Linked DNA regions of Kluyveromyces lactis. The protein of the gene in region 2 purifies or fractionates together with the protein of the main gene of each other region. This does not show direct contact. Links are inferred from orthologs where the notes say so. Each region holds a gene or a part of one and is shown on either strand. Other genes may lie near its edges.

What was found.
Region 1: the proteins of KLLA0_F13618g (region 2) and KLLA0_D16236g purify together in Saccharomyces cerevisiae (affinity purification with mass spectrometry; 3 studies listed by BioGRID). This does not show direct contact. The link is inferred for Kluyveromyces lactis from reciprocal best matches to the Saccharomyces cerevisiae genes SEG1 and YGR130C.
Region 3: the proteins of KLLA0_F13618g (region 2) and LSP1 purify together in Saccharomyces cerevisiae (affinity purification with mass spectrometry, with the first as the bait; 4 studies listed by BioGRID). This does not show direct contact. The link is inferred for Kluyveromyces lactis from reciprocal best matches to the Saccharomyces cerevisiae genes SEG1 and LSP1.

What each region holds. Positions count from the first base shown.
Region 1 is NC_006040.1:1,366,425-1,370,801, reverse strand, and holds KLLA0_D16236g (uncharacterized protein), read left to right. Parts: upstream 1-1,468; coding exon 1,469-4,084; downstream 4,085-4,377. Other genes in the region: KLLA0_D16280g (MARVEL domain-containing protein), read right to left, coding at 1-10.
Region 2 is NC_006042.1:1,260,979-1,265,075, forward strand, and holds KLLA0_F13618g (uncharacterized protein), read left to right. Parts: upstream 1-1,329; coding exon 1,330-3,597; downstream 3,598-4,097. Other genes in the region: glutamine--fructose-6-phosphate transaminase (isomerizing) GFA1, read left to right, coding at 1-880; aspartate transaminase AAT1, read right to left, coding at 3,803-4,097.
Region 3 is NC_006041.1:1,271,620-1,274,482, forward strand, and holds LSP1 (lipid-binding protein LSP1), read left to right. Parts: upstream 1-1,327; coding exon 1,328-2,284; downstream 2,285-2,863. Other genes in the region: ULA1 (Ula1p), read right to left, coding at 1-535. UniProt on the Saccharomyces cerevisiae protein: Together with PIL1, main component of eisosomes, structures at the cell periphery underneath the plasma membrane that mark the site of endocytosis.

The DNA.
Region 1 (4,377 bases), on a different chromosome or scaffold from region 2:
TTGAAAGCATTTTCTATTTTTTTTTCTTATATTAGAGTTTTGGTTTAATTTCAGCTTGAGAGATTTCTTTTACCAACTTTTTATCAAGCAAGCAATCAAATTCGAACTTAATTTATCTTTTATTGATGTAAAGACTTAAACCTTAATTGATAACAGAAGTATTATTAATTAAACAATAATAGTATTATTTTATATATTAAGTAAAAGAGTGAAGGAAAGAAGTAAAGTAAGAACCAGAAAAAATTTATAATTTGTTTCCCTTATTTATTAAAGGATAGAACCATACAATATATGTAATCATTTCCGGATTGAAATATTTCTTCCTTAAACTTTTACCCTTTATATACCTGCACTCAAAAAACTCTGTATAACTAATACCATTTAACAGAAAGAGGCAAAAACAATAACAAATGCAAAAGACAACAGTTTCTTCTCTTCTCATTACCAAGAAATGGTTTTTTTTTTTGTTTTTTTTCCGTGCTTATACTTCTTCATTCAGTTCTTTCAGAATAAAACGTAATTGCATCTGTCTCTACTAGACCCAATTGTTCTGCCGAAAGCAACCAGAGAGACCTAGAATTGAAACTGGAACCTCTGGATATCTCTCTGGATATCCCTCTGTATCGAATAGAAATAAAGAAGTGCCTCATTCATAGCTTTTAGTTTCAGTCTCTGCTCTTCCGTAGTACCTGCAATTCTAGCGGTAAGGTTTTTGTTTGTTCCAGCGTTTTCCAGTTTCATAACAAACCAAAACAAACGAACAATTGACAGCAATCTCAGACCCGGGCGCAGTATCTCAATGTCTTCTCGGCTTGAAAACAGCAAAACAAATAAAAAAAAAAAAAACTTTCTGTGATGACATGGAAAAAAAAAAGAGGGAAAACCTTGAATTCGCTCAGATGCCGGTGCAGCGACGAGTAAGAAATAGGGGAACATGCATTACCCGGTATTAGACATCGCTACGGCAGAACCATTCAGGTTTCCTGCCGAAGATGAGAAAAGCATACGTCTTTTGTTTTAGGGGAGGCAGGGTAATGTAAACAAAACCGTCCCCTGGGTCCCTCTTTTTGTTTCTTTTTTTTTTGTTAGTTTGCTTATTTCCGTTGTCCAGTGTGGGGGGGCCGAGGCCATACAAAAAATGAGTGGTTCTCCGTGCGTTTTTTGCGCTTGCTATTGCTGTTTGCTCTAAGAGCAAAATGGGATGACCTTGGCGATTTACATGCGAGAATATGAGGTCCCTTCAAAATTTCCAATGTGATATCGGTGTTACCCGGCTTTCTTTAGTTAGCCGCGTGTTACCCTGTCGGATCTCCCTTTTTTTCCTCCCTTTTCATTTATTATACCTCCTTTATATAAATAAAGGAAGGAAGTTTCTTTGCATATAAACAACGACAGCGATTAGACGCTGATCCTGATTTAGTTTGGAACGCACACAGCAGCATCCTATCCCATAGAACTCCAGTTAATAATGGTCGGTTTGAACTTGTTTAGGAAACGGAACGAAATTGACCCCTTTGCAGGGTTGCTCGATGACGCGGACCATGCCGCCGAACAGCAACAACAGCATGATCTTACCAACAGTAACAGTATTTTGAAGCGAGTTACCACGAAACAACAGCAGCACCAGGAAGAACTAGATGATAATGAGTACCATTCTCCCTTCCGTACGGCGGAAGAAACTCAACGTGCGCGTCAAGTGAGACAGGAGAAGTTCCCTACTCTGAGCCAAGGTGCGGTACAACTTGACCCGGAACAGATGGGGTACAGCGTTGTTACCGACAAGTCAGTGAAGAAGGCCAAGGATATTATTATTCCTTCTGGGTTGAAGGATACCGAGGCTGAGCAGAAGGTTAGATTGACTGCGTTGGAAAAGAAGGAGAAACAGTTACGTTATTGGAGAAAGTCTCAAAAGATTGTGGATTTAACCAAGCCACAGGAAGCAATTGAAGCGTCGGATAACTTGGACGAACTGGATGAGGTGGACCCTAGTAAGGAACCTCCCATTGAAGATGTAGCTGAAGCTCTAGAAGAAGCCGAGGCTATGGCTGAAGACGATGAAGAGGAACCAGTTGATCCGAAACGCGAGCCAAAGCCTGAGGCCGCGCTGAGGGCTTTTGAAGAAGCTGAGGCAATTGTTCAGGACGACGAGGAGCCTCCAGTGGATCCTGAAGCCGAGCCATCAGCAGCAGTTGCTGTTGAAGCTCTTGAAGAAGCAGAAGCCATTGCGCAGGGCCAAGTTCCTCCAAGAGTCCCGTTGGCTGAAGAAGAAGAACAAGAAAATCCAACCGGTGTTTACAAGGCCCCGGAAGATGATGCTAATGAATACGTCGATCCATCTCGTGAGGCTAGACCAGAATCGGCTGTAAGAGCCTTCGAAGAAGCCGAGGCTATTGTCCAGGATGACGAGGAGGAACCGGTCGATCCTAAACGCGAACCAAAACCTGAGGCCGCTGTGAGAGCGTTCGAAGAAGCCGAGGCGATTGTCCAGGACAATGAGGAGCCTCCAGTGGATCCTGAAGCCGAACCTTCCCCGGAAGAAGCTGTTGAGGCATTCCAAGAGGCCGAAGCTATCGCAACTGAGAACCCAGAAGCTATTTCTCCTCCACCAGATATCAATTCTGCCCCTCGTGTTCCATTCACACCCAGTGGCGCCAATAAGGCCGGTACTGCTGCAGCTACTTCTGGAATTGCAGCTTCAGGCTTATTTGCCCTTTTCAAACGTTCGAAGAAACCAGAGTCCTCGACCAAAGTTGCTGCAAATGCCGCTGCTGGCACCGTTGTTCCAGGCGATGATGCGCCAGTGGCCACCCCTGAAGATCCAGAGTTAATTGTCAGAACACAAGAAGGCTACGTCTCGAAGTCTGTTTACGATAAGTTGCAATACGACGAGGACCAGCACCAAGCCAAGTTGGCCCTGTACTCCAAGGAACAAGATGAAAGGTATGAAACTAAAGCCCAAGAGTACGAGGAAAAGATCCAATCAATTCAAGCTGAAATTGCTGAATTGGACGCGCAAATGGAACAGGTTAGATTGGAACATGAGGAAAAGTTGAAGTTGAAGCAAGTTGAGAAATCTCAAGCATTACTAGAAACTAACGTCAAGCACATTAACGCCAAGGGTGATCTGTACAAGCAAACTGAAGAAATCAAGAACCAAACCATCTCAGATAAAGAGGACAAAGAAGTTGCTCACCAAACTGTCCAATCTGAAATTGATGAATTGTTGTTGTTGAAAGATGAAGTTGCCAAGGAAAACCAGGAACACGAATCGAAGGTCGAAGAGTTGACAGCAGAATTGGATAATAAGACATCTGCATTGAATGAATCCTTGGCTAAGAAGGATGAAACTAATGCTGAAATTCAAGCTTTGGAAGAAGAGAAGGCCAGATTGGAACAAGAAATTAAAGAAGCTCAAGAACTTCACCAACAAAACGTCTCCAAGATCGAAAGTATCGACAACAAGGAGTACTTACCTAAGGTCAATGAAATTAATACCGAAATTTCTTCACTACTTGCTTCGTTAGGTTTAATTCAACAAGAAATTGCCAACCAAAAGGTCGAGTTTTCTAGTGTTACTAGGAGATTGGAGGAAGAGCGTAAACAACATGAAGAACAATTGCTAAAAGAAAAAGAGGAACGTGAGCGTTTAGAAAAGGAGCGTTTAGAAAAGCAACGTACCGAGTACGAAAAGCAAGCTGAAGAAGCTCGTTTGAAGCACGAAGAAGAGCTGGCTAACCTGAAGCAAACTCACGACGAGGCGCTGAAGGAGGCACAGTTGCAACGTGAAGCTGCGGCCAAACAACTTGAAGAAGAACAACAGAGACGTGAACAAGTAGAACGTGAAAGAACTCGTCTACAAGGTGAAAAGGCTATTGAAGCACAACAACGAGGTAATCCCGAAGACAAGAGACTGGAAGCTGAACACGAAGAAAAGTTGAGAAGGCAAGCAGAAGCTGCCAGTGCAGTCGAAAATGCCCTGAAGAGTAGCAACAAAAAAACGAAAGCAGCTGTTCCACCTGCAAACACCACAAATTCTTCTCTATATGACTACGAAACCGTTGAAGAAGTCATAACTGTTGATTGAATAACAAAAGAGATCTTAAAACGAAATAACATTAAACATTGGACTTTGTAATTTCTAAAATATGTCGTTTCTAATTTATATTGATTTATCATTCTACTTCTTTATCCATTAGATAAAGTTGTGCACGAAGGGGATAGCCAATGTACTCCTTGTCTTGTCCCACTTCAGTCTTTCTTGTTTGATATAAATAAAGCGGACTTTTGAGAAGTTTTTTTTTTTTTTATTTTTTGGAATGAAATTTCATGAACAATCATCGATTTTATTCAAAGTTATTCATGAAAGTAATATCTTTC
Region 2 (4,097 bases):
TCCAGTATCAGTGGAATTAGCGTCAGATTTCTTGGATAGAAAATGCCCAATCTTTAGAGACGATGTTTGTATTTTTGTTTCCCAATCCGGTGAAACTGCTGACACCATGTTGTCCTTGAATTACTGTTTGGAAAGAGGTGCATTGACCTTGGGTATCGTGAACAGTGTTGGTTCTTCCATTTCTAGAAGTACTCACTGCGGTGTCCACATCAATGCTGGTCCAGAAATCGGTGTTGCATCAACAAAAGCTTATACATCACAATATATTGCATTAGTAATGGTGGCTCTTTCTCTATCAGACGATAGAGTCTCCAAGATCGAAAGAAGAAACGAGATCATCCAAGGTTTGAAATTGATTCCAGGTCAAATCAAAGAAGTCTTGAACGTGGAACCAAGGATCAAAGAACTTTGTGCTAAAGAATTGAAGGATCAGAAATCTTTACTTCTATTAGGTAGAGGTTACCAATTCGCAAGTGCCTTGGAAGGTGCATTGAAGATCAAAGAAATCTCTTACATGCATTCAGAAGGTGTGCTTGCTGGTGAATTGAAACACGGTGTTCTAGCATTAGTCGACGAAGATTTACCAATCATCGCTTTCGGTACCAGAGATTCCCTATTCCCAAAGGTCCTTTCCTCAATCGAACAAGTGATAGCCAGAAAGGGTCATCCAATCATTATCTGCAACGAAAACGATGAAGTTTGGCAAAACAAGGCCAAGGCCAACAATTTGATTACTTTGGAAGTTCCACAAACTGTCGACTGTCTACAAGGTCTATTGAACATTATCCCATTACAATTGACCTCATATTGGTTGGCAGTCAACAACGGTATCGACGTCGATTTCCCAAGAAACTTGGCTAAATCCGTGACTGTCGAGTAAGAAAGGCTCTATCTTTTTCTCATTTTGCGTACAGTTTATCTAATTTTTCTAGTTTGTCCGATACATTCTCCACATATATAATTAACAAACCCGTCAGATCAATTCCGTTCCCCTCCTACCTACTATTAACATTGTAACACCAATGGTAACCCTCTTGTCTCTTGTTTTCATACCTTTAGGTCCGATTTGGTCTTATTTCGGTTTCTTTTCGAATGATTGATACCTTGAGATAAAAACAGAAAAAAAAAAAGGGCAAAACATTCAAATCGAACTTTAAGTGCCGAACATCAACAGAAATAACGAAAGCAAAGGCACGTAAAATACCATTACTGTTTGTTAGAGGGCACTAGAACAGGTGTAATTCGTGTATCAGTCAGCTGAAAGTATATATTAAGTGGAATTGGTTCAAGAGAGGGATTAAAGAAGCTGCTGTTGCTTTTATAAAAAAAATGTTTCGTTCTAGAAAGTCAAGAGAATCGCGTTCTATTGATCCTGGTGCTTTGGTTGCTGCAAACACCATTGGGAAGGCACTGGTACCTTCTAAGGATTCGTTTGGGGGCCAGGTTGTAGATAAGAGTAAGATTCCCAGGTATAACAGTATAAGTGGCCGTTCCTACTCGATGGTAAACAGTCCCAAACCAAGTTCTCGTCGGAACTCTGTGAGACATGCTAGTGATACTGGAGATCGTTCTTCCAGGTATGGCTCGATGCGTTCCGTACAGAGTGGTAACAGGGTTGCTCAAAGCGATGCAGACAAGGTTTTCCATGAGTTTGGTGGTAATGAGGCCAAATATGTGCTAGGACCCAGTGGTCTGGTACGTGTTGATAATGACAATAATGAGCCTAAAATGGTATCTAGATACATTCCTAGCAGCCATGGGTTGGTCAAAGTCGAAGTTCCTTTGGAACAGTACGAGGCTGAGAGGAGAAACAGTCTTAGAAGGTCGACTTCTTTACGTGGTGGGATGACTGTAAGAAACTCACTTTCTAATAAAAGGAGTCATGCCTCTTTAAGAGCAAACTCAATTGGACATAGAACACCTTCTGGAACCCCATTGAAAAAACTTACAGAAGTTCCTACCGTTGAAGAAAAAAAAGCGGATATTACTCATTATAGGTCTTCGCCATCACCGGTGCCTAGAATCACAAAGACTGTCTATGCAACTACAGCCAAAGAAACATCAGCTCCAGTCGAAGAATTCAAACCCCCATCCTTCGGTAACGGTACTGCATTACCACAGACTCCTGAAAGAGCTATCACTAAAGATTTGATAGACTCAGCGACAGAAGAAGAACAGCCAAAAATTCATACTGATCTAAGCGTTACCAAAGAAGCTGTTGAACAAAAGATCGACCTTGATTCAAAGCAAGTGGTAGAAGAAGAACACGTTATTCTTACACATCAGAAGGAAGTTACTTCTTTGCCAGATGAAACGATTAATGCCGAGAAGGAAACTGACAAGGAATCTCTCAAAAAAGCAGAGCATAACACATCTAAAGTAGATATTCCGGATTCAAAAGAAAAGGCTCTTCCTGGCAACGATGGTGTCCAGGAAACTATAGTTGAAAAAGTGGTTGATGAAGAGGAACATCAAATTGAAGTTCAAGATCCTATCGTTGCTGAACGTCAATCAGAATCTCAACCGGAGTCCCAACCGGAGTCCCAACCGGAGACAGGCAAAAGCACCCTCGCTCAGTATATCAGGTCCGCTAATCCAGAACTCCAGAGAGTTAATGAGGAGGATGCTCTTGTTACCCCTAAGATTCCATTAGAAAAGACTCCTTCACCTATAAAATCCGCAATGAAGAAAACAAACCACAACAGCCAACAACTTCAACAACAATCTCAAGCTTCAAGCGCATATCTGTCTTTAACAACAAAGGAAAACACTAGGTTAAATGCGCAACTTTCTCACGAAAGTTTGAGAGAAACCGCCAGCAAACAACAAGCACAAAATCAATACCGAAGACAGCAACAGCAAAACCAGCAGCCTCTAGCTCCTAAGAGAAATTCTCAAAGACCGCAATCAATGATGGCTCAAAGAGTTAATGGTGATAGACGTTCTTTCATGCAGAATAATTCCGGTGTTGCTTCCCCTCGCGATGCTAGACCTAGAAGTGTCGTAGGGAAGCCGTCCAACAATGCCAAATCGCAACAAAATAGTGGACTTTACCCAAGGGAACCTCCTCAAAAGCGTTCAAGCTTCGAAAAGCAAAGACCGATGTCCACCAACCTTGGATTTAAAAACTTATCGTTGAGAGAGGATCCGCAACTCACTGACCAGTACGAGCAGCCTCAAGCCCCATTCCAACCACATCCACAACAAAGACAATCTAGAAACTCAACCCCTGTTAAAAGTGGAGTAACGTACAATGGTGTACAGTATGTCTCCGGATCAGTACCACTGCCTGCTTCCAATACCAACAATAACAAACCAAAAGCGTCGTCAATTGCTCATGGATTCAAATCAAGATTTGCCGACTCTGATTCGGACGAAGAATCCGCAAACCTACAGTTCAGCAACCAAGGGAGTCGATCTACTCAAGTTTCAAGCGAATATGAACCGGCACCTCCTCCACCCGCGCCATACAATCCTCATGCTACTTTGAGACCTCAGCCAGAGCCTCAAATAAACGCAACTCACACTACTGAGAAGAAAAAGAAGAACAACTTCAGCAGTAAACTAAAGAAGCTTTTCGGTAACAAGAAACACTGAAAAGTAGCGACTAATATAACACGAAACACATGTAATGGGCATTTATAATCCCTTTTGTATTCTAGTTACCCAAAAATTGTGATTAAGAACACTAAAAACTATCTAATGTACAATTCAAACCGAAGCTTTGTAGTAATAAATAAATAAATAAATAAAGTGAAATTAATTAAAGTCAATTTGATGATATTGAAACATCTTGATGTGATTATTGAACCACTTGGCGCAAAGAATCGCATAAATAATCAATATTACCGTCGTTAACTCCAGATAACGACATCCTGCCGTCTTCAGTTAAATAAATACCGTACCTCTCCTGCAGAATTTGAACCTGATATGGGTTTAACCCTGTGTAATAAAACATCCCATGTTGTGTTTTAAAATCAACAAGATTGGGCCAATTCAATCTCTCATGCATTTGAATTCTAACGTTCCATAGTCTATCAGACATATTCTTAACGTCTACGAACCATTGCTGCTTCAATTTTGGATTGCTTAGCACC
Region 3 (2,863 bases), on a different chromosome or scaffold from region 2:
CCAAGTTATCGTTGGTGGATGCCATTATCAGAGGAACTGCTGAGAGTTTCATGACACGTTGTAACAACGGACCAGCCGTGCACAAACATATGACAATAGAGAAAGAGTTCCATAACTTATGTTGTGAATCAATTGGAACTGCATTCTCGTTCCAAATATGGAACGTAACATCTGGATTCATACTTTCTAACGCATCAAAACCTAAAATATCCGAGTTTGACTTGTTCACAAAATCTGATCCATTAGACGAGCCAAAAACTACAGTAATCTCATGAATACCCATGAGAGCCAAACTCTTGACACATTCTCGCATCAACAATGTCTGATTATCGTCTACAACGCACACATGAGACTGAGAAAGTAAATCCTGGCCTGAATGGCCCCAGATCATCAACTGTCGATCATAACGGTCATCCAAACCACCATTTATCTGATCAGCCATAACCTGTACCAACGCCCTTGGTCCTTGATCTTTAACACTAGTTCTAATGCAAGAGAGCCCGCCTTGATTGGAATCAAATGACGTATTTATCATGAGATGAGCTTAAAAGTTCAAGCGAATCAGTTGGATTACCAAAGTTCAAGCTAGATCAACTGCATACCGTTACCCGGACGAGTACTTCAGCATTACCCTAAAACTTCATAAGAGACTCTAAAGAGCCAACATAAGGCCGGCAATACACTGTTAGTTCGTCATTTCCTGGCCCTGTTTTTGCTACGGCTATATCATAAACCAACACCACCATCACCAGACAAAGCGGAAGCAGGAAGTACTATAATATCATCCACCTACATACGATTCTTTCCAGTCTCGAATGATAAGCCGAAAAGAAGAGTCGAACAAAAGTTTCTGAAGAAACCAACATAGAGAACCGTGCCCGCAATTTGCAAAGAAGAGAAAAATTGCGTGGCTCATGCCATGTCAATGTCCCTAGAGAAAGTAAGTGTGGGTCATGTTCTGTTTCTCTTTCTCTTTCTATGCATTTTTTTTTTTTATTTGGGAATAACTGAAAAGGGCAATAGGCAGTAAAAAAATAATCAGAGTTTCTTGGCCTGGGACAGAACCTTTTTTGCTATCTACATATAACTTTCCTCTATATAAAGTAATTGATTATCTTTCTACCTGTCTTGTTTTCTGACGGATTAATTTTAGGGGTCTTACGCAGGTATATCAAGTAAACTTCGATACATAGTTTAATCTAGTTGAATCGAAATTTTTTTTGGGCCAATTTACTCTTCTAGTGCTGCTTTTAGATTAAGAAATAGGGGAAACAGAAAATATTCGATATCAAGAAGTTAAATTAAATACCGATACTAGTCTCCAAAAATGCACAGAACTTACTCTTTGAGAAATAAGAAGGCTCCTACAGCTTCAGAGCTCCAAACTCCAGCTCCACCACAATCTACTACCAAGTCTAAGTTTTTTGGTAAGGGTTCTTTTGCCTCCAGTATCAGAAAGAATACTGCTGGTCAGTTCGGCCCATTGTTATCTAGAAAGCTATCCTCTTTAATTAAGACCGAAAAGGGTTACTTGAGAGCTTTAGAAGTTGTTGCTAGTGAACGTCGTGTTGCTGCTAAACAATTGTCTCTATGGGGTTCTGAAAATGACGATGACGTGTCTGACGTGACTGACAAGCTAGGCGTTCTTATCTATGAACTGGCTGAATTGCAAGACCAATTCATTGACAAGTATGACCAATACAGAATTACTTTGAAATCTATCAGAAACATTGAAGCTTCTGTGCAACCATCAAGAGACCGTAAGCAAAAGATTACTGATGAGATTGCTCACTTGAAGTACAAGGACCCTCAATCCACCAAGATCCCAGTTTTGGAGCAAGAATTGGTTCGTGCTGAAGCCGAATCGTTGGTTGCTGAAGCCCAATTGTCTAACATTACCAGAGAAAGATTAAAGGCTGCTTTCAATTATCAATTCGACTCTGTGAGAGAATTAGCTGAGAAATTCGCATTAATCGCTGGTTACGGTAAGGCCTTACTAGAACTATTGGACGATTCTCCAGTGACTCCTGGAGAAGCTAGAGCCGCTTACGATGGTTACGAAGCTTCAAGACAAATCATCATGGATGCCGAATCAGCTTTGGAATCCTGGACCTTGGATGTCGCTGCTATCAAGCCAACTTTGTCCTTCCACCAAACAGTCGATGATGTTTACGTCGATGAAGATGGCGAGGAAGGTGAAGCCTTAGCTGCTGAAGAAGAGTGGGCTGGTGAACATGAAGGTGGCCAAGAAGAAGAAGCTGTTGAGACTACTGAAGTTAAATAAGCTCTCGCGATCACATGCGTTAGTTTATTTTACCAATGCCGCTACACTCACTTCTTTAAAAATGTATGTGGCTAGCGTATATTGGAATGATTTATTGTAGAATCAAATACTCGTTCCTGCCGTGTACGTGCCCTCTTTAACTTTTAAAAATGAATTTTTCCAGAGAGCTCGCAATGTTACTGTGTGACAGGTAAAACGGTAGTATGTGAAGTCCGTTATACCATTGCTACTCTCATATTCTATGTAATAAAACATTTCTATATCTCTTTTAAGTAACACTAACTTCTAATATCGTGCTGAGTTAATAACAGCCATTGGAATTCGGTCGTAATATCGATCAATCTGTTTTGAATTTTCCTGCTGGCTTCTCTAGGTATGAATAAAAACGGCCAATAAATCACAGGAAATAACACTCGAAAAGTCTTTGGATTTAGTGGAAAGTTCGAGCTAGCAAGGATAAGATACGGAACAACGTGATAATTGATTCAAGTATCCTTTTTAGAAACATAAGTATATTCATTTTAAAAGAAGCAGTCAGTTAAAGTCTTAATAAGTTAAGTTAAAACAATTTACATAGCA